Linked DNA regions of Lytechinus pictus. The protein of the gene in region 3 purifies or fractionates together with the protein of the main gene of each other region. This does not show direct contact. Links are inferred from orthologs where the notes say so. Each region holds a gene or a part of one and is shown on either strand. Other genes may lie near its edges.

The links.
Region 1: the proteins of serine-threonine kinase receptor-associated protein-like (region 3) and cold shock domain-containing protein E1-like purify together in Homo sapiens (affinity purification with mass spectrometry; 3 studies listed by BioGRID and IntAct, counting the BioPlex papers as one, with this or other methods). This does not show direct contact. The link is inferred for Lytechinus pictus from reciprocal best matches to the Homo sapiens genes STRAP and CSDE1.
Region 2: the proteins of serine-threonine kinase receptor-associated protein-like (region 3) and SUZ domain-containing protein 1-like purify together in Homo sapiens (co-immunoprecipitation; 3 studies listed by BioGRID and IntAct, counting the BioPlex papers as one, with this or other methods). This does not show direct contact. The link is inferred for Lytechinus pictus from reciprocal best matches to the Homo sapiens genes STRAP and SZRD1.

The regions. Positions count from the first base shown.
Region 1 is NC_087247.1:53,964,200-53,975,265, forward strand, and holds the start of cold shock domain-containing protein E1-like, read left to right. Parts: upstream 1-6,208; 5' UTR 6,209-6,293; intron 6,294-11,066. UniProt on the Homo sapiens protein: RNA-binding protein involved in translationally coupled mRNA turnover.
Region 2 is NC_087258.1:17,652,585-17,662,882, forward strand, and holds the start of SUZ domain-containing protein 1-like, read right to left. Parts: upstream 4,499-10,298; 5' UTR 4,443-4,498; coding exon 4,389-4,442; intron 1-4,388.
Region 3 is NC_087263.1:1,586,904-1,597,091, reverse strand, and holds the start of serine-threonine kinase receptor-associated protein-like, read left to right. Parts: upstream 1-5,806; 5' UTR 5,807-5,919; intron 5,920-7,478; exon of another isoform or gene 7,479-7,578; intron 7,579-10,188. Other genes in the region: isoleucine--tRNA ligase, mitochondrial-like, read right to left, coding at 1,010-1,297. UniProt on the Homo sapiens protein: The SMN complex catalyzes the assembly of small nuclear ribonucleoproteins (snRNPs), the building blocks of the spliceosome, and thereby plays an important role in the splicing of cellular pre-mRNAs.

The DNA.
Region 1 (11,066 bases), on a different chromosome or scaffold from region 3:
TACAAACGTGGCCATCTGTAATGTTGACGTCCTAGACCAGATCCAGTACCAAGGGGGAGGTACGGAGTAATTGTCATAAGCATCCTACTAAAGCTGCAAAGTGCTCCAAAACAGCTTTAAATTTTGAACATTTTCTCATCTATTCCAGGGGCGGATCCAGCCTACGCCAATAGGGGGGCCGGGGTGGAATTTTTTTAGCCATATTTTCCCCGATCGGCCGCTCGAAGAAGATTTTTTGTTTCTTTGAAGCAGTGGCGTAGCTACGGGGGGGGCATGGGGGGGCACGTGCCCCCCCTGAGATTTGGTGTGCCCCCCCAGGTGCCCCCCCTGAAAAAAAATGGCAGAGCAAAAAAAACAAGAAAACAAGGGAGAAAGAAGAAAAGAAAAACAGAAAAGAAGGAGAAAGAAAAGAAAAGAAAAAAAGAAAAGGAAAATAAGAGGAGGAAGAGGAGTGAATGAAATAATGTACGTGAGGGGAAGACTTGCAAAAATAATCTTTCATGTTACTATATAATTTTTTTGCTCGCGCTTCGCGCTCCCATTATTGAAATATATACCGTCTTCGTGGGTAACTGTAAGCAGTCCTTAAAGGGTCCCTTTTTGACAATGCTAGAACAGTTAATATAAATTTCTGCTCACGCTTGGCGTTCGCAGTTATCATCTAGTTACATACGAATCTTGTTCAGGATCATACATAACATTTCCCAGAATATTAAATTTTCAGGACAAAATACATGAAAGTAAAAAAAAAATCGCTCGCGCTTCGCGCTCGCACTTTTTATAAGGCTTATGAGATTATTTCATGTTTATGTTGTTTTATAAGAATAATACTAAGAAGTGACTGATCGGGGAAAATGTAGGTGAAGATAATTTCGGGCCCCGTCCCCTATTGGCGATAGTCGGATCCGCCCTTGTGCATACACACACACACACCGGAAAAAATTGTGCCCCCCCCTGAAAAAGCAAGGACCCCCCAGTGCCCCCCCAGGAAAAAAATCCTAGCTACGCCACTGCTTTGAAGGGGTAGTTTAATAGTCATTTCTTAGCTTTATTCCTATAAATCAACATAAATATATAATATCATAATCCTTATTATAATGGGAGCGCAAAGCGCGAGCTACTTTTTTTTAAATTCTTATGTATTTTTCCTAAAATTTGAACATTCTGGGCAATTTTTGTTGTCCTGAAAAAGATGTGTATGCAACTAAATAATTACTACGAACGCGAAGCGCGAGCAGAAATGAACTGATGGAAAATGTACCTGTTAAAGACTGCATGCACTTTTAGCCATGAAGACGTTACTTATTTTAAAATTCAAATAATGCGAGCGCAAAGCGCGAGCTAAAATTTTTTGAGGTTTTACACAAAGAATGGATTTTCTAAGCACTTTTTGTAACTTAAACAGAATAGGTTTATAATTAAACAATTGATGCGAGCGCGAAGCGCGGAAATTTCGAGATTTAGACCTACTGAACGAAACACTCTATCATGTTTTGTAAATCATGAAAAGGATGAGTACTTGGGGATCTTAAATGATGAATTATGTAAAGTGTCTACTTGGTTCAAATGCAACAAATTGTCTTTAAACGTAAACAAAACACATTTTATGCACTTTAAACATTATAATACCCATGCAGTTAACGAAGAAATAATGATAAACATTGACAGCGTCACCTTACAACAAAAACAACATTCAAAGTTTTTAGGAGTAACTATTGATGAAAATTTATCGTGGAATAATCATTTACGCCATATCACCACTTCCGTATCCAGAGGTGTTGGGATCATTTCCAAATTAAAATACTTATTACCCCCCAAAACTCTTTTTCTTCTTTATAATGTCTTGGTTTTCCCTCACATATCATATTGCAACATAGTTTGGGGTAACTGTGGTAATACAAAACTTAATTCGATTTTCTTTTTACAAAAAAGAGCAGTTCGTATTTGTACAGGATCACAGTATCTCGCTAGATCTAGTCCTTTATTTTTTAAATTAAGAACTTTCAGATATAAATACATATCAAGCTGCTATCTTCATGTTCAAATACAAAAAGGGAATACTTCCCCCTTCCTTTCAAAATATGTTCACAATCAACAACACCATTCACTCGTATCCAACACGAAACTCTGACAAATTTCATCTCACAAATCCAAAACTAATAATAGCACACAAATCAATTAGACATTACGGTGCAGATTTATGGAACAATTTGTCACCTGAAATTAAGTTATGCTCTACACTTTATTCATTCAAGGCTGTTTTGAAGAGAAATACACCGTTAAAATATAATACCTAAAATTTATGTGTGTTACGTACCAACCGATATTACAACCCTCCCCTGCACTTGCACTCTCGCACACTTGCACTTTAACTTTTATCAACATGATTATAACTTCCTCATTTTAATTTTTCTTTCCCTATCTACTTTTTTGGTAATATTTCTATTATTTTGTGCAATAAAATATAAGTCTCTTTTAATGCACTATTTGTCTGATTTTCCTTCCCCTTTCCTTTTGAGGCCTTTATCAATTTCAAGCTCTAAGCTTAAGATGAAGGTCTCCCACATTTCAAAATGTATTATTGTTGATATATGTATATATATATATATATATATATATATATATATATATATATATATATTTGTTTTTTCTGCTATTTTTTTTTAACAATAAAAAAAGAAGAAATTTATCAGGTATAAGTATATTTCAATTAGATTGTATATTATGCATATGTTATTAATTATATCATTTGCTTATTATGTTATGCTAAGAAAAAAAATGATTACACTTGTATATGCTTTTTTTGGAATGTGGAAATAAATAAATCAAATCAAAACAAATCTTCCTTACATTAATAACGCGAACGCAAAGCGCTAGCAGAAAATTTTTAAATATTTTATTTTATTTATTTATTTCCGTTTTATTTCAACAGGGTAGCCCTTTCAGTTACAAAACCGCTCTACCAATGGGCCCTGTACAATAAAAAACAAATACACATAAATAACAATTTACACACAGAAAACTTAAAACTATATACTTAACTACAAATATTTACTCAAGTAAAATCACATTAAATTGAAATTAAAAAAGTAAAATCACATACAAGCAGAGTATTCATATTAAGTTTAAATTAAATCTAAAATAACACAACCATAATATTTACATTAAATCAAAGTTAATACTGCTTTTTAAAATTCAGAGTTAAAAGTTAAAATTCTAGATTGTTTCTTAAATATGGGAAAAGATGTTATAGTTTGCATATTCTGGGGTAAACTGTTCCATAGATTTAAACCATAAAAAATGCAAAGATTTCTTGTAATACTCTGTTCGAGGTGTTTTGATTTTTAATGGGCAAGAATGTGCATATCGAGTTTGAAAGTTGATATCACGATAAACAATATTTTCCTTTAAATATGTTGGAACTGAATCATTAATCAATTTAAACATGATGAGGTAGGTCTGATACTGTTGTCTTTGTACAATGTTTTGCCAGTTTAATTGTGTGCGAAGAACATTGGAAGGTATTGAAAAATCAGCATTAAAAATCAAACGAGCATACTTGTTTTGAAGTTTTTGTATTTTCTTAATATTGCACTTCCTAGTTCTACCCCAAATAATGATACCGTAATCAATATGTGGCAGGATTAATGCATTATATAACATGATTAATATATTTTGCGGAATATTTTGCTTTATCTGTCTGATACAACCAATTATTCTTGAAATCTTCGTAAATACGTTTTGAACTGATTGAAAAGGTACCTGTTAAGTTCGATCTGCTTGCACTTAGCCATGATGACGCCACATTTCAACAATCAAATAATGGGAGCGGGAAGCGCGAGCTGAAAATTTTAACATTTCTACATAAAGAATGGAAAATTTTGATCAATTTTTGTAATCATGAACAGGATAGCTATATAACTAAACAATTGATACGAGCGCGAAGCGCAAGCTGTTGAAAAATCGAGATTTAGACCTAACAACGGGACATTCTATTCATGTTTTGTAAATCATGAAAAGAATGAGTAATATAGGGGATCTTCCTAATAATGCGGGCACAAAGCGCGAGCAGAAAATTTTTGATATTGTGATCTTAAACTGGATAATGATTTAAATAGAGAACAAGTTGAGTATCTGAATAAACATGCGCGTGCGTGTTTCATATTTAGACCTAGAATATAGGCATTCTAAATTCATCTTTTATCATGAAAATCAAAGCGAGCGTGAAGCGCGAGCTTAAACTATTTGATATTCCGATCTGAAAAAAGAGTCGATTTCAGCTCTATATTTCAAGCACTTTGTAGGAAAATTGCGAGGTGGATATGGATCGCACTTAATATAGAGCTGATATTTTTCATTATAATCACTTTGAGGTTTGACATAGGACCGGGACATCCCTAGGACATGTCATCATATGAAAATGATGACTGTCTTCCTATTCCTCTTGCTAAGCGCGAGATGAAACAAAAGGAACAATTCAATTATTAAATTAATATCTTATTCATTAATGCCTAATGAGGGCGCGAATCTGATGATATTATGGCCTGAAAACTGGACATTTCAAGCACTTTTATATAGTTATAAATAGGATGCATCAGTTAATTTATTATAACCATTAATGCTGGCTCAAATTGCATGCGAGCCTAAATTTTTTATACACTGTCATAGTTTAAATGTTGTATAATCAATATTGAGACATACATAACTCACTAATCAAAATGTGAGTGTGCGGCGCTAGCTGATACGTTTTGACAATCGGACCTGAAAAGGGATATCTTGAAAACTTTATGGAATACACGAAAATAATAGGTACCTGATAAATCGAAATTTGCGAGCGCGCAGCGCGAGCAGAAAATGGTAACATTCAGACCATAAAACTGACATTTTTACAAAGCACTAAAAAAAAATTGTAAATCACACAAAATAATGAAAGTTCGATTTTATTCTCTTGATAACTTTTACCATCTTCACCATGTTCACTCTTTTTAAACTGTTACACCTGTATCGAGCAACTTTTTGATCAGGCCGGGCGGCACCAGGAGGATTTAATAGGCGGAAGATGGCCTACATTACGTCAAACCCCCGTTTGGAGAAAGACCGCAGTTCAGATTGCAAACTGCGGTTCTATACCCCATTTTGCGTTTGTAAATCCCAAAATCATTTCCAAGCCCAGGGGGCCGTTTCATAAAGCTGCTCGTAAGTTAAGAGCGACTTTAAGAACGACTGGTGATCCTTTCTCGCGCGCTAGATCTTCGCCAATGGTGTGTACCATTTACCGCAAGACAGGATCACCAGTCGCTCTTTATTTACGAACAGCTTTATGAAACACCCGCCTGATCAATCCCGCTAGGCCAGGTAATCCCCGCTGTCTCAATTTTACCTCCACAGGCCAGATTATGAGCGTTGAGCCAAGGACGAAATGATAAACAACAGCTGTGCTATTACGTAAGACTTCTCTGCCTGTAGTAGGACCTTCGGAATGAAATTATTGTATTCGATATTTAATCACGTTTTCAAATGCATATTGTATTCAGAAATCCAATGTTAGTCCATTTTCAAGTTCGAACGAAGAAAATCGACCTCGAAATAAGGAAAGTAAGTGAATTAAAATGACGGCATGCTTTGCTCGGGCTGTTGTGTTATCTTCGGACCGAGGTCAAGAAACAGGTGTTTTGATACTTAAATTGCTTGCTTGGGGCAGTTATGGTTTGTCGTACCAATAGGTCCATGGTCGTACTTGGAGAAGAGAATTGATTGAGGGAAACTGGGGTATAGTGTTTTCAAATGAAAGGTTTTCGTCATGTATTTGACCTTATATTTTCAGTATAGTGGTAATATAGAACATAGGTTGGTTGGTTTGTTGTTGGGTAGGCCTATATGTGTCGCTGGGCCTTGTCCGGGGGGTTGAGGCTAATTGCCACGTGGCCGGATGAAATTAATGTAAATAATTTCTGGTTGAAAACCTTTTTTTTTTTGCTCGTCAAATTTTCTTCATGTGTCCCTCCCCCTGCTTCTGCTCCAAATTCCTTTCCTTCAAGCTTTTTCCTAGTCCTGGCTCCCTTTCTTCCTTTTTATATGCTGTGGACTGTACTTTAACGGATGATGATGATGATTTATTTGTCTATGGCTGCACCCAGGCTGCACCCCCCCCCCCCCCCCCCCCTCCTCCTCGGCCTCCTAGCTCTGCCTCGGCCTCGCACGCGTACGCGCTCGCGCGCGTGATGCACAAGCTTCCAGTAATGCAAATGGCGGAGGCGAGGGCACAAGTGCTGTTGTGCGGTGTTGAGCCTGAGGTGAGAAAAATAAAATTGAAGTTTTGTTTTGAATTAAATAGACTCTACGTCCTTTGCTTCAAATTTAGATTAATATATTTTTAAAGTATTTAAACTATTTAATTTTGAACTTCTTCTGTTCTTTCGAAACAAATGATTTGTTATTTCTTAGGCCTAACAGAGGCTAGACTATTTTTCTTGTTCTCTGAGTCTGATTCAGTGATTGAACTTTGAGTTTGAAGCCAATTCGGCGCTAGCTGATGTAGCTTTCATCATGGCGTTTATTGCAATAGATTAACGTTAATTTAAAGCCGGGTTTTAAGCTAGACAGGAATAACCGTCGTTTCTGTGGATTTATTTAACAATTTCTGACATTTTACTATCACCCCCATGTATTGGTGAGTGAGCCAAGTTAGCCAACGCAGTTCAGCGGAACAACCAAAATACAGAGACTGAATGAAGCTTTACTTTAGTTTTGCCTAATTTTAAACTAAGACTAAGTCTACCTCAAGTCACTCATTCAATCAATGAACAAGGTTATGATATAACCTCGTTCTCAATTATAATTATATCTCCATGTGTGGCAAAATAAGGATGGCAATGTTTGGCTTATTTTCTCTTTTTCTTTGGGACAAATGGTGAAATGCTTGATTTTTTTACACTGACAGTTTCCATTACACCTATTCGTCATTACAACTTGGCCCTTTGGCTTTAGTAAATTTGATTCTTTAAATTATTTTTTTTCTTAATTAAAAATAGAGATAAAAAAGAAAATTTTCTTGCCATATTATTTTCCACCAATAGAGGGCGAACACAAAAATATGCCAAAAATTCAAGGTTTTGAGCGCTCTAGTGAATACAAAAATTATTCCCAAGTTACAAATGAAAAATAAATTGCAACTGTATGGAAATTAGTAATTTTGGTCACAAAAGTAATATTTTAATCATTTTTTAAAGTGTGTGCTCTTTACAGCATTGGCATGCCATAGTCCAACCTGTAGGCTGTAGATTCCCCACAGGCAGGGTGGTTGCAGTGAACAAGTGCCTCGAGTAAAGTTTGTGCAGGCTCCACCTCACTACCACTACCGCTACACTCCACCTACCCGAACTTCTACACCCGTATTTCACTCCGTGTCCATCCTCCGGTTATCCTCGAAATTGGTGATTTTGGGCCAGTATCTAATTCCTCACACGTATTATTCACTGCCAATTTCAAAACATCGCATGCGATCGGTCGCAGGTCAAACAGCATAAATATTTATATTATATTGGATGGCTTAGAAAATACCAGAAATATTCTAAGTCTAAGAGTTTGGAAAAATATTCCACGAATCAGTGGAATATTTTTCACCAATTTTGAGGCGAACCGGAGGATGGACACAGAGTGAAATACGGGTGTAGAGTAAGAAATTAAGCTATTTTTCTTTCACGTTATATATTTTTTCTTTAATTTTTACAATAAATAACTTTTTGATCCCACCTTTGTCACTCGGAATATCAGATCGAGTCCACGGTCCCGAAGTTCATGTACAGGTGGAGTGTAGTGTAGCGGAAGTGGAGTGGAGGCTGCACGAACTTCGCTCGAGGTAGCTAAACTTAAAGTCAAATTCGCTTGACCGAATTATCCTAGCCAGGTCAACATGGACAAGGCCAAACTAAAGCCTTTTTCGCTGGTATCATGATCTCAAAATTCCATGACCATGACAATTGACTAACGTTAGTGCATGCTCAGCTGAAAAAGTATCATAAAAAAGTGTATGGCAAGTTCCCCCAAGCACAAGTCTACGTCTGTGTAGTCCCCCTTGTCTGCGTACATGCCTATCTGCCTGATTCTAGAGTAAAAGGAGCCCAGGAGTCGACCGTGCAAAACGAGAGAGACACTGGGGTAGATTGGGGTCTCAATAGTAATCTTAATAAAATGTGGAAACATAAATCATGCACTTACTACGATTATATCGATGAAGATGAGGTCTATCGTGACATACAAATCCTGACATCGAGGCACAGACTGGAACCTAAAAAAACCTGAAAAGTTCTGTCGCTATACCTCTCATTCTTTCAAAATTCAAAACAAAATGGCCGATCGAGAGCGAGGCTATATTCTGGTTTTTTTTTAGGTTCCAGTCTGTGCCTCGATGTCAAGATTTGTGTGTCACCATAGACTTTCATCCACATAATCGTGGTAAGTGCATAATTTCTGTTTCCACATTTTATTAAGATTACTATTGAGACCCCAATCTACCCCAGTCCCGTGTCTCCCTCATTTTGCACTGTCGAAGATACGCAACGAACACAAAATTTACACATGCAACACATACCAGTGGATGTTCATTAAAAAATCTGACTCAAAATGGTGGGAAAATAATGAGTTTTGGGCATTTCATGTGACGGCCTCAAAATGCAGCCTTTCTCATCAAAATACCTGAATCGTGTGCAAAGTGAATGGGTGCGCAGACATGGGGTACATTTTTTTTAAATCTGAAAATGACTGCCTGAGGTTCTTTCCAAGAAAATCCTATATTTCTTTCAAATTTTTATGAGATATTAGGTACACTTACTTATGATAATATAAGAAACATAATTAATTGAAAGATTTTGTGAAATAAAAAGAAATTAATGTTAAATCTTAACTCAAATCGTTAGGTGGGACCACCATCATAACCTTAATTTGTGCATGATCGTTTTGCAAAGAGACTTTTAGCCGAAATTGAGGGATTCGGCATAGGTCTATCTAAGCTCATAGAATGTGAGTGGGTCAGGTCATTTCTTGTTGGTCGACAGCACTGTGTTTGTGTAAATGGTGTGTTCTCTGACTGGGCTGATGTAACCAGCGGAATACCGTAAGGGAGTGTACTTGGACCCCTGCTTTTTGTAAGGTACATTAATAATCTGCCAGATCAGATTTTGTCAAGTAGTGTTTATTTATTTGCAGATGACACCAAGTTACATGTATACAAGCATGAAAAAAATGATAAAGATGCTGAGTTACATGTATTAGAAGGGGACTTAGATTGTCTTGTTTCACGGTCTGACAAGTGGCTATTAAAGTTCCACCCGGATAAGTTTTAATAGGTAAAAAGAATGATGAATTTAATGACTATACAATGACACATGATAATGCCTCACATATATGTAATCTATCACAAGTTGAAACTAGTAATGATTTAGGAGTGATAGACGACACAAAGCTTAGTTTTGACCAGCACTTTCAGTTAAAGATAGGCTAATGAATCTAATTAGAAGAACTTTTTGTCTCGCCCACCAGAGGTGAAGGCGAGACTTAGGGATCCAAATGTCGTCCGTCCGTCACAAACCTTATGACATATAACTCCACAACCGTAAGTCGCTTTTCAACCAAACTTGGATGGTAGATGGACTTTGGGACCTGCATGTTATGCTGCAGTCGGAGGTCACATGGTAAGGTCAAAGGTCATTTTCAGGTCAACGTTAAAGTTTTCATGCAAGACTCTCTTATGACACCTAACTCTGCAACCGTAAGTCACTTTTCAACCAAACTTGGATGGTAGATAGACCTGGGAGACCTGCATGTTATGCTGCAGTCGGAGGTCACATGGTAAGGTCAAAGGTAATTTTCAGGTCAACGTTAAAGTTTACATGCAAGACTCTTATGGGCATTTTCACCACAGATGGACACAGAGGCAAAAAAATCAAATTGATATTTATGTCAAATGCTTTATGTTTTTTAATAATACAAGACCTGAAGTTTCTGGAACAATTTTTTTTTCCAACTGTGGCAGCCATTTTTTATTTCAAAATGGCCACCAGAGTATGGATACAAATTAGTGTTGAAAATGGTATATTGATACATATTTTGTTCTGACAGATATTAAAAGAACAGGTTTGATCATGATATTTTCCCCCGTGATTTAGCTTGCTATTATAACTTTTTATAAAATCCCATAAAAAGAATCACCAGTAATTCATTTATCTGATAAAAAAATGTTGATGAAGTATGTGATATGGTATGTAACGTCAGTTACCAAAAACATGAACTTTTTTTTTTCATTTCCCAGATTTCCTCCTTAGGTAACACCCCTCCCTTCTACACCAAAATAAAAGATAATTAACAATCAAGCCATAGGGTACCATAAAATATGTGTAACGTCAGTTACCAAGTGGAAAATGTAATGTCAGTTACCGAGATGTAATGTCAGTTACCATGATAAAACATTATTATCAATAGTGAAATGCAAATTTGGTCAATTTTATGGTGAAGAAATATTGTATACTTGTTATTTAAGCCTTTCACTGTCTTAATTAAATCACACCAGAAGGAGCTTGCTATTGACTTTTAAAAGGTATAGTTCACAAGGAATACTATATAAAATTATGAAGAAAGTTGCATTCCCATCATGCAAAAAAAATTACTGTGAAATTGCATATGTACATACTTACCAAGTACCTAGTTTGTATCAGACAAAAAGTATTTTTTTATTTTTCGGTTTTCGTGGGGGAGGGGGTACTTTTCCCAACCTATTGCCTGAATCTGCAACATTTGATAAGCTTAACATTGTAATGAATGGGAGTTTCCAGGGCCCCTTTTTTAGTTTCTAGGATTCTTTTGAGCATTGCCGGGCTAAAAGTAAATTCCTGGTTTTTATACCTGTTAGTAAGGTAGATGTGTGATACAATTTTTGTTTTTGGTTTAAAAGTATAGATGAAAAGTGAAATTTGATAGTTCTGATCCAGGGAAAAAATTAATTTTTTTTTTCGGGGGCTCCATTTTTAATTTTTTGTAAAATTTCGGGGGCTCCATTTCTACCTTTCGGGGGC
Region 2 (10,298 bases), on a different chromosome or scaffold from region 3:
TGTTTTCTTTCCTTTTTTTTTCTTTTCCTGTTCTTTGTTTTTTCTTTCTTTATTTTCTTTCTTTTGTTTTATTTCACTTATTTATTTTATTATTTTTGTTTTCTTTTTTTAATATACTATTCTAAAAATTATTTTTGTTTGTTTCCCCCTTTTATGCATTGTTCTAATTTTGCAGCATATTTTTCTGTGATTTTCTCCTGCTATAATATGCTGGAAAAGAGAAAATAAACTGGATTTGGTGCCTGCATAATCTCGGTTTTAGGATTCAAAAAGGAAGAAAGGAAAAATCATTGTTTTGTACATCTATCTGAGTTTGCTATGCACTGTTTATTTACTTTACCATTATGAGTGTGTGTCTATACAGAGATTTTAAAAAAAGTCCACACAACCTGGGAACAATACAATTCTTTTATTCTCTTTCAATCATTTCATATTTACAATGATAGAACAATTTATATATTACCACAAATCAATTAGCAAAGTAAAATAACAGCAAACAAGATTTACATACAAGATGTACAAAGTGAAAGTAACTTAGTGGTAGTGGCTGCAGAATTAATATTTTATTCATTTTTTAATCAATGTTTTTCTTTATATTTTTCGGGCCACAAAACTTTAATATCGGGCCACTATAAAAATTATTTGAAGGTTTTGGTGGCCCGAACGGGCCACCACCAAAAAAAGTTAATGTGGAGCCTTGTCATATGTATAATTTTTTTATGTATTGCTACTTACCGGAAAGAGCCCCGGTGCGTAGCGAGAAGGAGTTTCGGCAAATATTACTTCAGCAATGAAGCGATGTTTGCCGACTACTTCGAAATCCAGGGTCAAACACGGTCCCTTGTACGACTGTTAGTATATATTAAGCTTGTAACCGATTTTGCAATCGGCAACCGATTCCATTCGATTTCACAACAATCGGCGATCACTTGCCGATCTTCGATCATGCCCCTTGAAGGAAAAAATCGGATATAAAAAAATCGGCATACCTGTAGACTAGATCTAGTTACAGTGCGGTCAGAACATATTTCAAGATTGTTCTTGCAGAGGTGCTAGCTATTTAGAGCTTTTTAACAATCGAATAGTTCGAACAATCGAGATTCCTAGAATGTCAGAAATGACTCATAAAAGGTTGACCTACTTATGATGACCTACCGGTAGCTGCGCTGACTGGTATGGCGGGAGTGTAACTTGGATTGAATGTATTGTATAATATACAAACAATGAACATGTACTTGTACTGTGTTTGTCATTTATCCCGCCCATGAGTGCACACAATGGCCAATAGCAATGGAGTTTGAGAGCTGTATGTGACTGCATGGGTGCATGAATGTGTTGTATGCATTATGTATGCTAGTGCTTATGCTGATAAATCCCGCCCATAAGTGAATACAATGGACCAATAGCAAGGGAGTTTGAAAGCTGTGTGTGACTGCATGAATGTGTTGTACGCATTATGTATGCTAGTGCTTACGCTGATAAATCCCGCCCATGAGTGAATACAATGGACGAATGACAAGGGAGTTTGAGAGCTATGTGTGACCGCGTGGGTGTAGGAATGTATTGTGTGTATTACGTATGCTAGTGCTTGCGCTAATTTTTGTCATAATCCCGCCCATGAGTGCACACAATGGCCAATAGCAATGGAGTTTGAGAGCTGTATGTGACTGCATGGGTGCATGAATGTGTTGTATGCATTATGTATGCTAGTGCTTATGCTGATAAATCCCGCCCATAAGTGAATACAATGGACCAATAGCAAGGGAGTTTGAGAGCTGTGTGTGACTGCATGAATGTGTTGTACGCATTATGTATGCTAGTGCTTACGCTGATAAATCCCGCCCATGAGTGAATACAATGGACGAATGACAAGGGAGTTTGAGAGCTATGTGTGACCGCGTGGGTGTAGGAATGTATTGTGTGTATTACGTATGCTAGTGCTTGCGCTAATTTTTGTCATAATCCCGCCCATGAGTGCACACAATGGCCAATAGCAATGGAGTTTGAGAGCTGTATGTGACTGCATGGGTGCATGAATGTGTTGTATGCATTATGTATGCTAGTGCTTATGCTGATAAATCCCGCCCATAAGTGAATACAATGGACCAATAGCAAGGGAGTTTGAAAGCTGTGTGTGACTGCATGAATGTGTTGTACGCATTATGTATGCTAGTGCTTACGCTGATAAATCCCGCCCATGAGTGAATACAATGGACGAATGACAAGGGAGTTTGAGAGCTATGTGTGACCGCGTGGGTGTAGGAATGTATTGTGTGTATTACGTATGCTAGTGCTTGCGCTAATTTTTGTCATAATCCCGCCCATGAGTTCACACAATGGACGAATAGCAAGGGAGTTTGAGAAATGTATATGAATGCTGGGTGCATGGATGTGTTGTATACTATGCTAGTCAATGCCCTGCTTAAATCCCGCCCATAAGTGCACACACGGCCTAGGTACGAATAATAGCAAGGGAGTTTGAGAGCAGTGTGTATGGATGTGTTGCGTGTTGTATGTATCATGTAAGCCATACTTGCAGTGATATATTGTCATTAATCCAGCCAGTGAGCCAACTCAAAGAATAGCACTGTTAGCAGTGTCAATTAAACCCACCACGTGCACATGCCAAAAGGTAGTGTAAAGAATTTTGCGCTAGCCCGTTGAGTCTGGGCGGTTCCAGTTCTCGGCTATGCCACAAAACTATCTTGTATTGTGTGAATGCTTGCGCGCATTGCGTAATTCACTGATATTGTTGAGTGGGTGGGTATACAAAAAGATCGATACTGAGGCGTGACTTAACTTTTCCCAGAACTGATTCGGAGAAATGATGTACCAAGTAAGCTATTATAACAAAATGGGTGTACTTTGGAATGGTTATTGGGCGTGGCTGTAATCACATATTATAATGAGCGAACTTAGCTGAGCTCAGCTTCACATAAAAATTCTTATAAAAGATGTCCCGCCGATCGTTCATTGACCTGTGATCTACGAGAATTATTTTCCTTTGCGACTGCTCGGAAGATGCGTCATTCGTTTATCTTTCTAATAAAAATCACTCATTTTATTGTTAAGCAGTTAAACCTCAAAACCCTTTAAAAGCATGTTCCAAACGATCGCGCATGTCGACTACTTCCATTCCTAAACATTCGTCTTTGTGACTTTGTCAGGAAGATGCGCGCGACCGCGAACAAAATGTTGATGTGTTCCTTTGTTTTTAAACATCGCCGATTCGATTTTCGATTCGATTTCGATTTTAGAAGCTTAACTGCCGATCCGATTTTCGATCTGATTTTTGATCCGATTTACAACATTAGTATATATAGTCACGTATTGTATTACTGGACACTATTATGATTCCGGACGCGCATATTACTGCGTTCTAAAACAAATTCGTACCGTAAGACTTCCGCAATTCAATTTCACAGAGCAATACATAGAACAAGATTGCAAAAACAAGGCGAAAAATCAAACTTTTACCTAATTATCTCTAAAAATGACAGAAAATGCTTCAAATATCATATAACATAGTTTTGTATTAACAATTGATATATTTTCTAACGGAAATATGGGCCTGATTTGCCGAATTTCAATCTCGTCCACTCCTTCGATCGAATGATGAGGTGTGGTGTATTGTGGGTGATCGTCGACGGCTAGTTCTCAAGGTACCCGTGCGCGAGGTTTACCGTGATAGCCGTCGATCGGCAGCGCATCGATAGAACTTGATGAGCGTCACGATACGAACGCGAGCATATTATTATTGGAAAGTGCCATGGAACATGCAGCTAACAAGACAAAATAAAATAAGTTATCAAACACAAATTTATTACCAACATCTGCTCAGATTCGATATAAAAAAAGCAAATAATACTTAGAATTTACTCATGATATGATATAAGAAGAAAAAAATCACAAAAATTTGTTCTTACATCATTAGAATCAAGGATATCTTTGCCCGTCCGGCGCGCGTCCGGAATCATGATGTAATTTGTCGCGCACGAAAATAATTGTTTTTCGTGGAGGGGTAGGCCCTATGCGGCAAGTGCGATGCAAAGAAAATGGTTGGTAAATATAAAATAATTTTATCATATTCATAATTTTCATAATATTTGGAATAGCAAGTGTGAATATTTCTTGATTGTATTTCCTCTAGTTGTCATTTTTAAAGCACTGAAATAAAGGTGTCCGGTAATAGGATACACTGCCATACTAACCTCGTATTAGTGTGAGTGTAAATGGGCCAACACTATTTGCTATAAATGGGCCAACACATTACACCAGGACAAGGCTTTCCGTTGATAAGGCAGAAATAACGTTAGATTTCAAGGGCAGATAACAAACTAAAATTGTCAGAATCTGCATGGATATATAAAAAAGTAGAAATAGCTTACTCCACTATCTGCCATATCTTCCCAGCTGTCCCATACCTCCTCTGAATCTTCCATTTCCGTCAAAAACAAATTCGAGTCGTCAACAAGAACTTCTTCTGCCAATGTATGTATACGGTACCGGTAGGTGTTGCCGAAATATCCAGTAGCAAAGAAAAAAAAATCTTTCTCAGACAGTCAGAGTGAAAAGCGAAAACCATAGATAATCTATCCTAAATAAATAAATAAATATGATCCGATGTTCCCGTTCTCAGTAAATGAAAAAGTACGTTTCTCTGGCGAATCCCCCCCCCCCACATTTGCATTCACGTAAAGAGGGATTTTAATTATAGGGGCTCCAGCTTTCCCGAAAATATTAATAGGGCCCGTTTACCTTAGTATTATTTTCTCCAGAAATAACTTTAACTTTTTTTTTAAATAACTTTGATGGTTTCTTTTAAAACCTTCCCAGAACAATCCTAAAATTTAAGGGATAATTTTCTAGCTTTTATTCCAAAATGTATCTCAAAATTATTCTTTTCACAGTAAAAGTTTTTCCAAAAAAATTTGCTGGGAAGACGACGATAACATTGTCAGGGTTTGTAAGAAAAAGAAGAGAAAGGAAAAAAATGTACAGAAAAGTAAAAAAAAGGAAAAGAGAGAAGAAGGGGAAAAGAATAAGAAAAGAAAAGAAAAGAAGAAAAAAATGAATAAATGAAATAAAAGAAAAGAAAAGAAAGAAAGGGGAAAAATAAGAAATAAAAGAAAAGAGGGAAAGACAAAGGAAAAAAAGGGGAAAAGACAAAGAAGAAAGAAAGATTGACAGAAAAGAAAACAAAAAAGGAGGGGAAAAAATGAAGGAAAATAGAAAAGAAAAGAAGAACGAAAAGTAAAATAGAACGAAAAAAAGATTGAAGGGAAAGAAGATCATTTCAACAAAAAAAGAAGCTCCAAAAGCAGTGGTAAGAAATGTTCATTTCTTGACTGGTTGCCAACCAAAACCAAACAAGAAGTTTGTGTGCGTGCGTGAGTGTGTGTGTGTGGGGATGTGCGTGTGGTTGTGGTTGTGTGTGTGTGTGTGTGTGTGTGTGTGTGTGTGTGTTAATGCGTTTGTTTGTAAAGTCTCAACGTTTAATGTGGCTTAAACGATTACTTTACGGAGAACGAGATGCAGGATGGAAGTTGTATTTTGATTTTTGTTTTCGATCAGTTGGGGGGAGATTTCTGTTTCTATGTGACTTTGACACTTCAAAACTAAATATAAAAATGCCCCCATTTTATTCAGAAATGATGAAGGCTTGGCAAGACTTAAGGAGATTTCGTTATTCTGAAGAGGAGGTTAACCCTATTATATTCAATAATCAACATATTTGTATAAAAGGTAAAACAATTTTTGACAATGATCTTTTTAATAAAGGAATATTTAGCGTTGATCAAATCTTTGATAATGGCCACTTGAAGCCTGTGACTTTTTTCAAAATCTCGGTATTACCGCAAATCAACTTCTCCAAATAATAGATATTGTGCACGTTATACCAGCAAGCTGGAAAAATTTTAATAGTTTAATAAAGTTTTAAAAAATTGATTTGGTAGACTTTGGGATAAGTATGAATATTGGAAAACAAGAAACAGCTTTTGAAGTAATTAAATCAAAAACAATTTATAACTTGTTTATTACTAAGCTACAAGAGCTATACAAGTTAACACTTAAGGACGTTCCACAGTTAAAGTGAAATCCATGTCATTTTCACCAAACTTTGCAAATAGATACTTTAGAACCTTAATATTCGAAATATGCAAAAATTAACATAGGTCCATGTGCTTGATTTTTTGCTATAGAGCTTCAAAGTTCACCCAAATTGAAGTTCTTAAGAAATGCGCATTCAAAAGAATTTGGCATTTTTAGACCGCCCAAGATTAATACAATGAGTTTAAACCTCCATTACTCAGTCAAAATACATGAAAAAGTCATCAATTTTCGCAAGAGAGTTAATAATTGTATCGTTAGAATGGAGAATTTTTTTTAAAGTGCTATTTGTTTGCAATTTTAAGTTTAATAGCACTGTCAGTTCTTAAAAATGGCGTAAAAGATAACAAAATCCCAATCTAAAAAATATAAAATTTCAGTAACAAACTACAAACGTACAATAAATGCTGCACTTTATTTAAAATCCATGTCATTTTCACCAAAATTTGCAGAGTTGTAGAGGAAGGTATACCTATGAGGTACAAACATTAAAAAATAGGGGTTCATGTGCTTGTTTTCAAACTATCAGCATTTTTATTAGAGAAAATGTGCTTTTTAAAACACCAACAATGCGCCGAATGCTTAGTATCTATGTGAAGAAAAAATCAAAACCACTCTACCATTTATTCAAACTCTGGGTAATATTTGCGATTCTTGGCAGCACTGCAGAGTAAAGTATTTTGAAATTGTAGAGAACATTTTTTGAATGGTCCATGGAATAATTCAATTTTTTAGCTTTATGAAATAACGCATCGTATCTGCAGTTAAAGTGCAGAAGATTAGAAAAATCAGCTCATACCCGCAGCTAATTAATAACCTGTTCATCCATTGTGACGTCAGCGCGCATAGTGTAAAATATGCGCACACCATAATGCGCACAAACATAACTGTGGAACGTCCTTAAGGATGGTCACAGTGATTTTGATTTTACTGATGTAGAAATTTGTAAATTATTTGAATATATCAGGAGTACAACTCTTATAAGAAAACAAAGGGAATTTCAGTTTATGCTTTTACATGGAGCAATATATACAAGAGAACATTTGATGAGATTTGGTTTCGTGGAAGATAATTATTGTTCGTTTGGTTGTACAAAAACTGAATCGTACTTTCATATACTCATGGATTGCATAAAAGTTAAACCTCTTTGGCAATTTTGTATTGATCATTTTTGTTTAGCTGAATTAAGAACTTTGAATTGGAGGGAAATATTCTTAGGGTTACCTGGAAATTCTTGTAGAATTAAATGTGTCAATTCTGTTATTCTTTTTATTAAATATGCAATTTTTAATTCCAGAGCTGAAGGCCGGGTACCGTCATTTATTAAAATACACAAATATATAACGGGTTGTATAGAAGAAGAAAGAGGCCTGGCAACGAAGTCAGGCAAGTTAAGTTTACATTTGCAGAAATGGGATGAACTGAAGGTGAAAAGGGATTTGAATGTGAACAGGTGGGATGTGTCTAGTGTGGTGCGAGTGTGAATCCTGGTGTGAATGTTGATGTTTTTTTTTTTCTTTTTACTAGTTCTTTTCAATTTCCCCTTCTCTTGTATCAATATGATTTGCAGGTTTTTTTTCTTTCTGTATCCTATTGCGCCAAAATGTTAAACGTTCATTATGCAGATTTGTATATATTATGTTTGTTTACGTATGCGTGGTATGTGCATGTGTGTAAGGGTGTTAAGGTGGGTGTGTGTATAATTATGTAAAGTTATGTTGAAGCTTGATTTAAAATGGGATGCAATGATAATACATTTAGGTTGATTTCTGTTTTCCTGCAAATCATTTATATAGCCATTTAACATTAATTATTATTGAAATACATAGAGGGTTGGGGACTCAGTTGAGTTATTTTTTTTTTTCAGATATAAAAGTATAATTTTAAGGAGTTTCATTTCGTCCTTATTTGCTTCAGTTCTTGGTAAATATATATGTACTTTTTTTGCATATCCTTGTTGATATGAAATGAAGATTTGTATTTTTTTTGTATTTATCTGCAGTTTATGTAATTCATTTGAATGAAATCCTTAATAAAAAAAACATATTGAAAAAAAAAAAAAAGTTTGCGTTTATGTCTGCAGAAGAAGTTTGCCTTTTTTTTGATAATACAGTTTTATGTTTTTTTTATTTTAAATTTTGTTACTATCTTTTTGGGCCATTCTCTACAAGCAATTTGCTTATCAACTATTGTTTAAACTTTTTAAAAGTATATAGTTTGAACAGTGTTTACAATTTTTGTTTAAAAGAATTGTTTAAAATTATGGGCCTGAACAGCGAGCTTAAAGTTTTAAACCGCAATTGAATAAAAAAATAATAATTTGCTCTTTATTTGTGATTGCGCAATGCTGAAACCACAGTATAGAGGTCTGTCGCTGAAACCCGGCCTGACGAAAGAAAATAAAGATGTAAAGCAGTCACTGGCCGGAGAGCATATGGCGGGATGGCGTGTCCTGGGGAGTGTTTCATGAAAGGACATGTCGGACGTTTTATCCGACAAGTCCCATTTTATCAGACAGTTACCATAGTTGCAGTGCTTGTCAGCCAATCAGAATCAAGGAAAGTTGTCGGATCTGACAACTTGTCAGACGAAAATGTTGATGAAACGCTCCCCGGGGCGCGTCCCCTACTTTTCGAAACATCATCAGGGGCCCGTTGCAGAAAGCTTTGCAATCAAACGCAATTCTATAAATCATCGTAACTTTATTTTTAACCAATTAGAAGCGCGCATTAAAGACTTAAGCTTGATAGTTTGATTTGCGTTTAAACGCAAAGTTTTTTTTTTTTTTTTTTTGCATCGGGCTCCAGTTTTATATTTTACCAATGTCTCTTATTTCACAGTAAAAACGCTTTCTAAAATCTTTTATTCAACACTGAACTTTACAGTATTTGTTTCACAGTGTAAAAGGATGTTTATAATTTTAAACAACCATTAATAGATATTTAACTTAGTTGTATAAGATTTAAACTGTTAAAAAACTTTTGTAAAGTTTAATTAGTAATTTTATATAAAAAAAACTATTGAAAATTGCTAATGTTGGAGACTGTCTAATTATTAGTGGCAGGTCGTTCCAGGATTTTGAAGCCGACACCGTAAAAGTTCTGTCACCAGCTAATGTACGAGTTAATGAATATGTGAGGCGAAGGTGATCACTGGCCGACCTAAGTGCTCTAGTTGGTGTATACAGATTCAAGCAGTTACTTAAATACTGTGGAGCCTGTTTATTCAGTGTTTTGTAGACAATCAAGAGTAATTTGAACGTAATTCTCTGTTTAAAAGGAAGCCAGTGAAGAGAATTAAAGAGTGGTTGGGAAGGATGATCTCGGGAAACCTGTAAAATTAATCGTGCTGCCCAATTTTGTAGTCGTTGAATACGAATTAATTGATTAGAGGGAATTGTAGAAAGGAGCCCATTGCAATAATCGATACGAGACAGAACCAATGAACGAACAGCATTGTGACAGGCAGACTGGTCAATGAACCTTCTGATTCTAGAAATGTTCCAAAAGTGACTGTGCTACAGATATGAGAGATATGGTACGACATTGACATGCGGGAATCAAATATGACACCAAGGTTTCGTATTTTTTCTGATGGTCTAATGAGTGTACCATGTTTAGAGCCTTTTTATTGAAGAGTCGAGTTTCTTCTTGCAATGATATAAATTAAGTAACCCCTTTTGAATTAAAATATCAAAGTTACCTTCAACGCCGTTCATTATGTCGTTTTCACATCTGACAAATTGCGAAAAAAAAATTGTTTTTGTTTTTGTATTTTCTTAGTCGTTCTTACGACTTACTTACTCGTTCCCTCGAGTTATGAAGTCGACGGAACGAGTTATGGTATAACGAGTAAGTAAGTGCATAGTGAGAACGGTTATAAGTCAAGGGGACGAGTTATAAGTCGGGGGAATGAGTTATATAAGTCGAGGGAATGAGTTATATAAGTCGAGAGAATGAGTAGAGGGTACTATAATATAGGCGGATCCAGAGGACCGAGGGGCCCGCCCCCCTCTATTGGCGGAGCAAAAAAGGGGGGAAAGGGGGAAAGAAAAAAAAATAGAAGGGAAAAGGGAGGAGAAACTAAAAGAAGGGGAAACATAAGAGGAGGAAGACGGGTGAATAAAATAAGATGAGGGCGATGAGGGTAAGACTTGGAATATAATAATAACAAAAATCTTTCATGTC
Region 3 (10,188 bases):
GCTGGAATTTTTGACCAATCAAAATCAGCGGAATAAAGGAAGAAACTGACTCTGTCTTCTCGAGCAATGCCGAATGCAACTCCAGCGCTCGGCCAAAGTGCCGAGCGGAGCGAACTGTGTGTGTTAGATAGGCTCTCGCCATTCACTGCAATGCAAAAATCTACGTCTAGCGCTGTGTCCGCGCGATCGCCCGCCCGACTGAAGTGCCTACTAGGAGATCATTTGGGTGTGGAAACGACCCACAACGAACAACAACAACAACAACAATTGAAATAAGAAAAATAATTTTTTTCTCCAGAGTCCGGACACCCTACAGTAGAGGCGCACGGCCAATATTGGAGACTGTCTCCAATGTGGGAGATTATCTCCAATATCAGAGACTTCTGTAAAGAATTTGGGTATTTAATTTCAGAGACAGTCTCCAGTTTTGGAGACCAATTTCCTTTGTTTACATTTGCTGCAAAAGGATTACCTTGGCGGCAAATAAAAATGTGATAAGCAGATTCCTCATGACAAATTACCCCTTTTCACCATCTACTTTAAAAATTCACCGTCTACTTTTGTTTTGATAAGGATTTTTGTTGTCAATCACACACAAAACAAATGGGCTTCTGACCTCAGTGAGACAAAACTTTGGGTGGAAAAAATCATGCTTTTGTTGGTGTTGTTTCTTTTGTCCTTTTGCAAAGCAAGTCTCCAATGTGGGACATTGTCTCCCCTATTGGAGAGAGTCTCCCATATTGGCCGTGCGCCTCTACTGCCCTAATTTTATGATATTTTGTTTACTTTAACGGACGAATGAAATATGTTTGCAGATAATTTATTTAAAATGCGTTTCACATGGTGCATCATAAAAGATGGGCGACACAAAAGACGGTCCTTGCAATTGCAAAGACCCTTTCGTGCAATCGGCCCCTGGGCTCCGGCCCGCGAAGCGGGCCGAAGCTCCCGGCCCGGTTTAGGCCTGGCAAAGCAGCCCGGATCTCTGGGTGTAATTAAAGCAACGTACCGCTTGAACTGACTGCTCCCTGTTTGCTGCACCCCACAGCTCAAAAGAAGTGTTCGGCAAATTCAACGTGTCACTGTATCTCCCACTTTTATAACGTGTTGGAATTTCATGGAATTTCAGCAATCTACAGCAATATTTTAATCGTTGAATATTGCGTGTTGCTTCCTTGAAAAGTAACATTTTCTCCGTGGTTTCAGATCGGAAGCAAGAAGAAACGTGGGGCCGATTGCACGAAAGGGTCTTTGCAAGGACAGTCTTTCGTGTCGCCCATTTTTTATGATGCGCCATGTGAAACGCATTTCAAATAAATTATCTGCAAACATATTTTATTCGTCCGTTAAAGTAAACAAACTATTTGTTTATAAAATGATGTGATATCTCACAAAGTTGTATAAATTTGATTTAAAAGCAAGCTTACGAATTGTATTTGTTTATAATAAATTTCAGAAACACCCCGCTTATAGCGCATCATAAAAGATGGGCGACACGAAAGACGGTCCTTGGAAAGACCCTTTCGTGCAATAGGCCCCTGGGAATCGAGCAGCCGGCGAACCAGTGTAGTATGGAACGCGAAGTGTCGCAAATTAAAGGTCAATGCTAGTTTTGGTAACGATATCAAAATGAGTTCGTACAGAATCCAATGAAATCAAATGACCACCAAAGTGTCTGTTTGTATAAATAAAACGTATGTGCCAAAGGATTCTGGAAGAAATTGTGTAATTGCTGAGAAATCAGCAAATAAGCACAGGATTCGGGTAGAGCGGCGGCCGGGCCCGACATTCAAAGCAATAATTATACACTGTCCCACGTGTTATCTGTGTTGGGGATCTTCAGTCTGAACATTTTTCAGCGTAGATTTCAAGATTTCACAAAGTTCAGTTTATGTAACTGTACCAGATCTAGATCCTCAATGATATACTGACAATTAAGCCTTGTTTTACAGACTAATTTCTCATGAAATCAGTGTTTACTGCAAATACTGGAATTTCTCTTTAATGTAAAAACGATAAAGGAAGAAAAAAAAATTACACCCCCTTTGAATAAAAAAATAAAACACATAGAGAAAGAGGACAAACAGAGCGTCCTATTAATACTGTTTAAATAAATACATAAAAGGTCGGTGAACAGTAAGTTCACAGGCTGATGATTTCATATCCCGACTTACTTTTATTTTTTACTTTGTCGGGCCCCGTTGCATAAAAGTTATTATCATGGTAACTTTGCCATCCAATTTACCATGCCGGGCTACCAAGGTATTAGGTAACGTTAATCAACAGCCAACCAAAATTAAGGATTCCATGCAAGTTACCATTGGATGACAAAGTTACCATAATGATAAATTTTATACAACGGGGCCATGAAATTATATTTATTCATTTTTTTCCTCCAAGAAAGTAAAACAGGATTGAATTATATGATTTATTTCATATATTTGAAGCTTATTTTTGTAAAAGGTTCAGAGACAAGTTTAACACATACTGTGAATATAATGTAAGATAAGAAAATTGAAAAAAAAATAGGCCACCTATTCCAGATTCATTATGACGAAAAATATTTGATAATGCATAAGATGTGTATAGCGCACCCGGATAGCGCACTTTCAATCTTGATTAGATACTCAAGGCGCTTCAGAGCAGAACAACAAAAAGGCTATATTTATGTCTGAATAAAAGGGTCAATTGCTATATAAAAAAAATACTCTTAAACAGCTATATGTTTTCAGGTTGCCCAAGACAGTGGTCACTGAAGTCTGGGTTTTCAAGCTCCGGATTTTTTTTTCCGTTTGGGTCTGATGTTGCCATTAATGATGAAAATTAAGTGGCCCATGACTGCCACGTAATAAACCATAATTAGATTAATAGTAGGCCTATACAAGGTTTTACATCAAGCTAATTAAATATGTATTAACGCTATTCTTAAACTGTCCATGTTGTGAGCTGAAGGGAATTTGATCAATTGATCAATATTTCGGTGTTTTGCTTGTCGAATTTTATTCTATTTATTAAAATCTATAGATTTTGTCAAGATAGTAATTTGCTGCAGAACGGTATTTTTGTGTGCGGGGGGGGGGGGGGGGCTGCATACAAACACAATCGGTAATTTATCCCCATTTTTACATATACAGTTTGAAACTTGGGGGCTTATGCGACCCCCACCCCACTTACCTCTAGATATATTCTGTGTTTTACTCTCACAATTGTCGATCTTGATGTCTTTATATATGTGGTAAATCGTGAAAAGGGCTTGCCCCATTACATTATTGAGACTTTTCAGGAAATATGAAAGGATTTTTGACCAGTATCATGCAATTTGTTTCATGAAACAATCAATGGCCCTGTCCGGTAACCAGCAAAAAACAATTTATTTTTTTTGGGCTCAGAAATTGTAACACGTGTCATTGATGCGAAAATCAAATGAAAGGGTAATATCCTTCTTCGTGATGCAGTCAGGAGCAAATTCTCAGCACAACCGTATACGCAGGTCGTAATCCTTTGGGGTTTTTATCATTTTTTTTTTTACTTGATTTGATTTGATTTCTGCATTGAAATTAGAGACAAAAGAGTCTGTGCAATATAACATTTTCAAGGGTAGTATGTAACAATAATAATTTTGAGAAAAATGAAAATATTATCAACAAAAAAATGTATTAGTCATTTTGCCCGTGATCGATCGAGCGATTAAGCTATAAGCTTATAAAGATGGCGACCTCGTTTTTGGCATTGTCCTGACATTTCCATTGATTTTGTGAGTAAAACGTCGGTGGCGATGCGACTCGAATAGGGGCGACGGAACGGGGGGGGGGGGGGGGCAAGGGCACTTGCCCCCCCCCCCCAAAAAAAAAAAAAAAAAAAAAAAAAAAAATCCCCATAGGAATAAAGGTGCCTTTTTCAAAATAAAACACTTTTTTTAAAGTAATATAATAACGACAATAATGATGATGATGTTTATAATAACAATAATGATAATAATAATAACGATATAATAATAACGATATAATATAATAATATACCAAGTAAATTTCAGCGCCTTGAGCACATAATCAATGTGGATTTGGCGCTTTACAAATACTTTATGAGACTATGATATCGATGCATGCCAATTGATCACTTATCATCAGTATAGAAATAATTTCAGCAGATTCAAGATGTTAAAAGAATGTTCGTTTCCGGCACTTACATGTATATTATCGGTGAGTGATTCCTCTAATTTGAGTCATATTTTTTAGAAAACAAGTATCAGTAAAAAAAAAAATCAACTTTTTGGTTGGTAGGTCGGGTGAAGCAATATATTTGGGCGTAGCATTTCTTCCCTTTATTGATTGATTGATCGCTTTCATTTCTGCATTATATCAGATATAGGTTTACAATAAGTGTAAATTAACATATAGTTACAGTACATGCATTGGATCAATGGTAAAAGGCGATTGCAGCACAAGGATGACATGAAGGCAGTAGAAAGCCAATAAATATATTTCTTTCAGAGATTTTTCATTTTCTGAATATTCGTTCCCGAATTTGAAGAAAACGGCGGCCGTCAAAAAGAATATTCCGATAATTATTTTGAACATTAAGGGGAAGTTCACACTGGAGAGAAATTTGTAGTAAAATTAGCAGAAAAATAATAAAACACATCAGTCAATGAAGGTTTGAAGAAAATTCATTCAAAGATTAAGAAAGGTATTACAAATTTATGTTTTGGATTTGTGACGTCATAAACGAGCAGCTATATAGCTGTCCAATATGTTATTACTAAAATGCATGAATTTAAAATTTTCAGTGGTTCTTGATGACCGTAATGTGTTTGTTTTCTTTTTAGAAACGGAAGAGAAATTATTAGTCTATTGCCATACCGAAGGTACAATTAACCCATAGGGTTACCCCTTTTCAATTTTCTGAAAATGACATTTCATTGATTTTTTGCCATATACGATATGTACTAAATTTGCTCGAATAAAAAAAAATCAAATAACTACAATTCTAATAATTTTTCTACTCTTTGATTGATTTTCCTCAAACCTTCGCCAATATTTATTATCATTTTTTGAAATAGTTTTACAATAAACTTTTTGTCAAAGTTTACTGTCATTCAACCCATACTCTTTTAAAGGTCAAGTCCATCTCAGAAAAATGTTGATTTGAATCAATAGAAAAAAATCAGACAAGCACAATGCTGAAAATTTCATCAAAATAGGATGTAAAATAAGAAAGTTATGAAATTTCAAAGTTTCGCTTATTTTTAACAAAATAGTTATATGAACGAGCCAGTAACATCCAAATGAGAGAGTAGATGATGTCACTCATTCACTATTTCTTTTGTTTTTTATTGTTTGAATTATACAATATTTCAATTTTACGAATTTGATGATTGTAGGACCTCCGCCTTGCCTGAAGCACAAAATGTTCAAATAATGTAATTCCACGTGTTCAGGGAGGAATGACACTTCATTTTACATGACAATGACGAGAAAATCAAAATATTTCATATTTCACAAAAGAATTGTGAGTGATGTCATCAGTTCCCTCATTTGCATACCGACCGAGATGTGCATATAACTGTGTTTTGAAATGAAGCAAAACTTTAAAATGTCATAACTTTCTTATTTTATATCCGATTTTGATGAAATTTTCAGTGTTATGCTTGTTGAATTTTTATCTTTTTATTCAAATCAAGTTTTTGTTGGGGGTACCATAGAGATATATACGTAATTAATTAGTATCATAGAGATGTATACTAATTACGCTTATTAGTATATATCTCTATGATTAGTATACATCTCTAGCTCTATGGGGTGGACTTGTCCTTTAAATTCAACGCCCTCTAAGTCTATGTTAAAAATAAGAAGCGGAGCAGATGCAGAGCCGAAGAAAGAGGGCAATCCGGTCAATTTTACTGGTTTAATTGAAAAATTGGTAAGTGTAATTAATAGCTGAGGAGTAAATTTATTAAAAAATTGTCATAATTAATCCAATATTAATGAAAGAGACGTTTTAATCAATCCTGTATGGTGGTAAATTTATTATAAAAATGTCAAAATTTTTCGTTCAGAACTTGTCTTAACTTTACTTTAGTTTAGTCCCAGCTGTTGTAAAATTTGTTGTTTTTATTTTGTGACATATGGGGCCGCACGTCTTCGCATTTATTTTAAACTCATGAAAAAGGGAATTTCTTAGCATGAATTTGTTTGAAATTCCACAAGTATTGTTCATTATATTCTCAAGAGTAAATGTGCTGAAAACATCAAATTTACAGAAGAGTTAGGCCTACCTGCCCAGAAAAAAAGGCAGAATTAGGCCTAGGCCTACCAGTAGGGTGTCTGAAGCCACACTGAAAAGTGTCAGCATAAAACGGGCTAATTTAGGGGAAAATATGGCACATTTTTTCGGGGAAGTTCAGGCTACTAGAAAAATGTGATCTGAATTGATTATTAACTTGTGTTTGGCATGTATGGAAAGAGAACATTCAGGGGCTTCTTTTGACAGTAAGGACAAGTTTATATGATCATTTTAAATAAGGATTTAGAGATAAATTGCAAACCCTTATTTTTGTGTGTGTTGAAATTGCCATTTCTCCATGCGTTTTCAATGGGAAAATGAAATTTCTGTTTTGCACAATTTTTTTCACTTTGTCGCAATTTTTCATTGTGATCTGGTTTCCAAATCTTTATAAAAATCATACCATCAGATAGAGCATAAAAAATCCTATTGGACTCTTTATGGACAAGTTTTTGGCATTAATGATAAATTTATAACAGCTCTCGGAAGCTAAAAATTTGGATTTGTGTGTGTCCATTTCTTAACTACACAGTCTATGGCAGAGAAATGCTGAAAATTTACCTAATTTCATTCTTCTTTTTTGCAGCCAATAATTGTTTTTTTTTCAAAAATTATACATTTCTGTCAGTCTGAAGGTCATTTCTCTTCAAATTCACAAAGAAAATGTAATATTTTCTTGAAATAAGAAAAATACTTTTTTTCTCCAGACACCCTACTACCAGTATACCCAGTTGTTGTGTGTCCGGACAGGTTGTGTGTCCGGACGATCAATTTTAGAAAGTCATTTGGAAAAAATTACAAGCGAAGTTTCATCAAATTTTAGTACAAAATTTTAGAAAATATTATAGAGAACAAAATGGAAGATGATTACAACTATTGAATTCATATTTTTAGTGAAATCTTAAGACAAAAAAGAAGGCTTCAAAAATATAAAGTGTCCGGACACCCGATCCCCCATCCTACCACTCCTAGTACCAATGAGGTCCAAACATTAACATGTATGGACCTCATAGGCGACATTACCCAAATTATGGGTTGGACAATGCTGTTCTGATTTCCAACCCAAGACTTTGGTAAATGTACACCTTAATACAAGTTAGAGTTATCCGATATACCTTTCATTCGGACGGCAAACCTTTATTTAGTTGTAAAAATAGTTGAAATTAAAATCGATTATTGTTAAACTTACATTTCAGGCCCTTTTTGTTGATTTTCGGTGAGCGTTCCACACAGCTGCGACGAGTGATCAACTCCGAAGTGATACGCGTACTGGTCAGCTGATCGGTCAGGTGATCGGTTGGTTATCTTTTTGTCAGACATTTATGTTAAGCGTATCAATCTTCAGTATCTTGATTTCAAAGCATCAGTATTGCAGAGAAAAGTCATTATTGATTGGAATCAGTGGCGGGGGGGGGGGGGGGGGGGGGGGGGGTTGGGGTGAGCATTTCTGCCCGTTCCCCCTTTTGAGATTTATAGTAAACATTTTGGAATTAAATATGTTATTAATACTAGTTATGTGCCCCCCCCCCTCATGAGAATCACGTACAGCATTATTTGTAATGGGGATATTTCGTTCATATTCTTGTCTCTTTTTGGCCTTTTTTTTTAATTGCCAAATTCAAAATTTTACTGGTAGTCAGGTCCAGATTTTAAATAATATGCTCAGAAAAAGTGCTTTAGGCATTTTGTGTTAATGCTGATTTATCAATCGTTTTAAGGTAATTCAGGGGTGCTGAATCCAAAAATGCTGTTTGCCAAACTTGATTCCGACGTTTTCATCCTCAAATCGGCAAAAAAACAAAATGGCGGTATTTTTAAAACAATTTCCCATATTAAACGATTTTTATGGGTGATTGTATTTCAGAAATTGGGATCTATGCGAAATTTTCAATACCCAGGGTTGCAAACATAATGGTTCCGATTAAATGATTCGTCAGCCATCTTTAATTTCAAGATGGCTGCCATGATTCACAGCTGCTGATTGATAAATAATATGGCCAAATGTTTGATAATTTGGGGGCGATGCTGGCATACTCACATTGTGATATCTTTAACGTGTCCGCCATCTTTTCCTTGCCTGCACAGCAGAAGCATGACATGGACGTCGCTTTTCCGACGGCGGCGATGACCATGGCGGCGGTGAAATCAACATCAAATCTTAACCGGGGTTAAGTTTTTGAAATGTCATAACTTGTAGGATATAGATGTCTTTTTCATGAAACTTAGGCATGTTAGGATTAAAATAATCTATTGAGACAGGTAGTATAGTTAAAAAAGGTCGTCAAGGTTACATGGAAATCCAGCATGACGTCCACAACGGCAGCCGTTGTACCATCAACTCCAAAAATAAAGTAAATCCTTAAAATCAAAACCACCAAAAAGCTTTCAAGGCAAATAATGAATGAAGACAGGTTTACAAGATAGTGAGTGTGTCAGCGAATCCAAGATGACCTTCCAGACTGACGTCTATAATGGACGTCTGGACATTGTATCTTTGAAATGGTCCAAATTCATAATATATACACCTGGTAGAAATACCTTTGGGGTCTACCGAGAATGATATAAAACATTAAAAAAAATCATGGTTCCAAAGGGAAAAAATTACATCGGAAAATTTTCAAGGTTTATCAGTGGTGCAGTTTTGCAAAAAAAGTGATGATGGCCTAAAAATAGTTATATCTTAAAAATCTAGCTGCACTGAGTGCATATACTATCTACCTAGAAACATTTTTGTGTCTTCCTCATGGTTTCAAAGTTCAAATGATATAGGAGAAAACGAATTACATGGATACACCGTCATTTTGTAAAAAAAAATGAAGAACGCTCCAAAAATTACATTCGAATTGGCCACCATTAATACAAAAATGACAGTACTTCATATCCCATCTAGTGCCACTATTTTGGTGTCTCTGTTTTTAAGACTCATCCGAAACACAAACCTTAAAAACTAAGGTACACTTCGCCTAAAAAGTTCCATAATTCACTATAAGTATTTCAAAACATGTCATTTATGTGCTTAGGACCATCCTATGGTTTCAAGATTAGGGGACATAAGTCATTTTTACGCAATTTTAGAAGTCGCTTTGGACTTTTTACGACAAAAAGAAAAACTGACCCTTCTTTTTATTTGTCCCGATTTATTATTTCAGCCTTCAAACCACAAATGTGTAGATTTTGTTCACCTAATTATGACTATGTTTAGGTGATGGAAGTCTTTTTAGACTCATTTTGAAAGCGATCTTTAAATAATAGGTAAAATAGGCAGCTTCATGCCATTGTAACTAATCAAAACTTATTTAACCCTTGAAACCGTAGTGTAGACACCAAAATCATATCTCCCAGATGGATTCTAAATAGATTATGTCAATTTTTAAGTACAGCTCAGCCATTTAAGACTCCTTAATTGGAAGCCATCTTGGATCTTTAGACATACGGGACCATTGATTGCCCTTGTAACTTATCCTTATGTATTACTTGACCATTTAAACCAAGGTTTAGACAACATAATCATACACCCCAGGCGGATATTAAACAAACTATGTCAGTTTTTAGGTAATAATAGCCATTTTAGACTCCAATTTTGGAAGCCTTTTTGAATTCCTGGACATGCTGGACCTCTGGCTGTCCATGTAACTTGTCCTAATTTATTACTTGACCCTTTAAACCATGGGTTAAACCCCAAAATCATATACCCCAGGCTGATATTAAACAAACTATGTCATTTTTCGGTAAGAACGGCCTATATAGACTCCATTTTTTGAGCCATCATGGATTTTTGGACATACTGGAACCACTAACTGGCCTTGTAACTTGTCCCAGTCTAATACTTGACCCTTTAAACCATGCTTTATACTAGTTAAAAGATCATATTCTCCAGGCGATTAAATATTAAACAAACTATGTCGG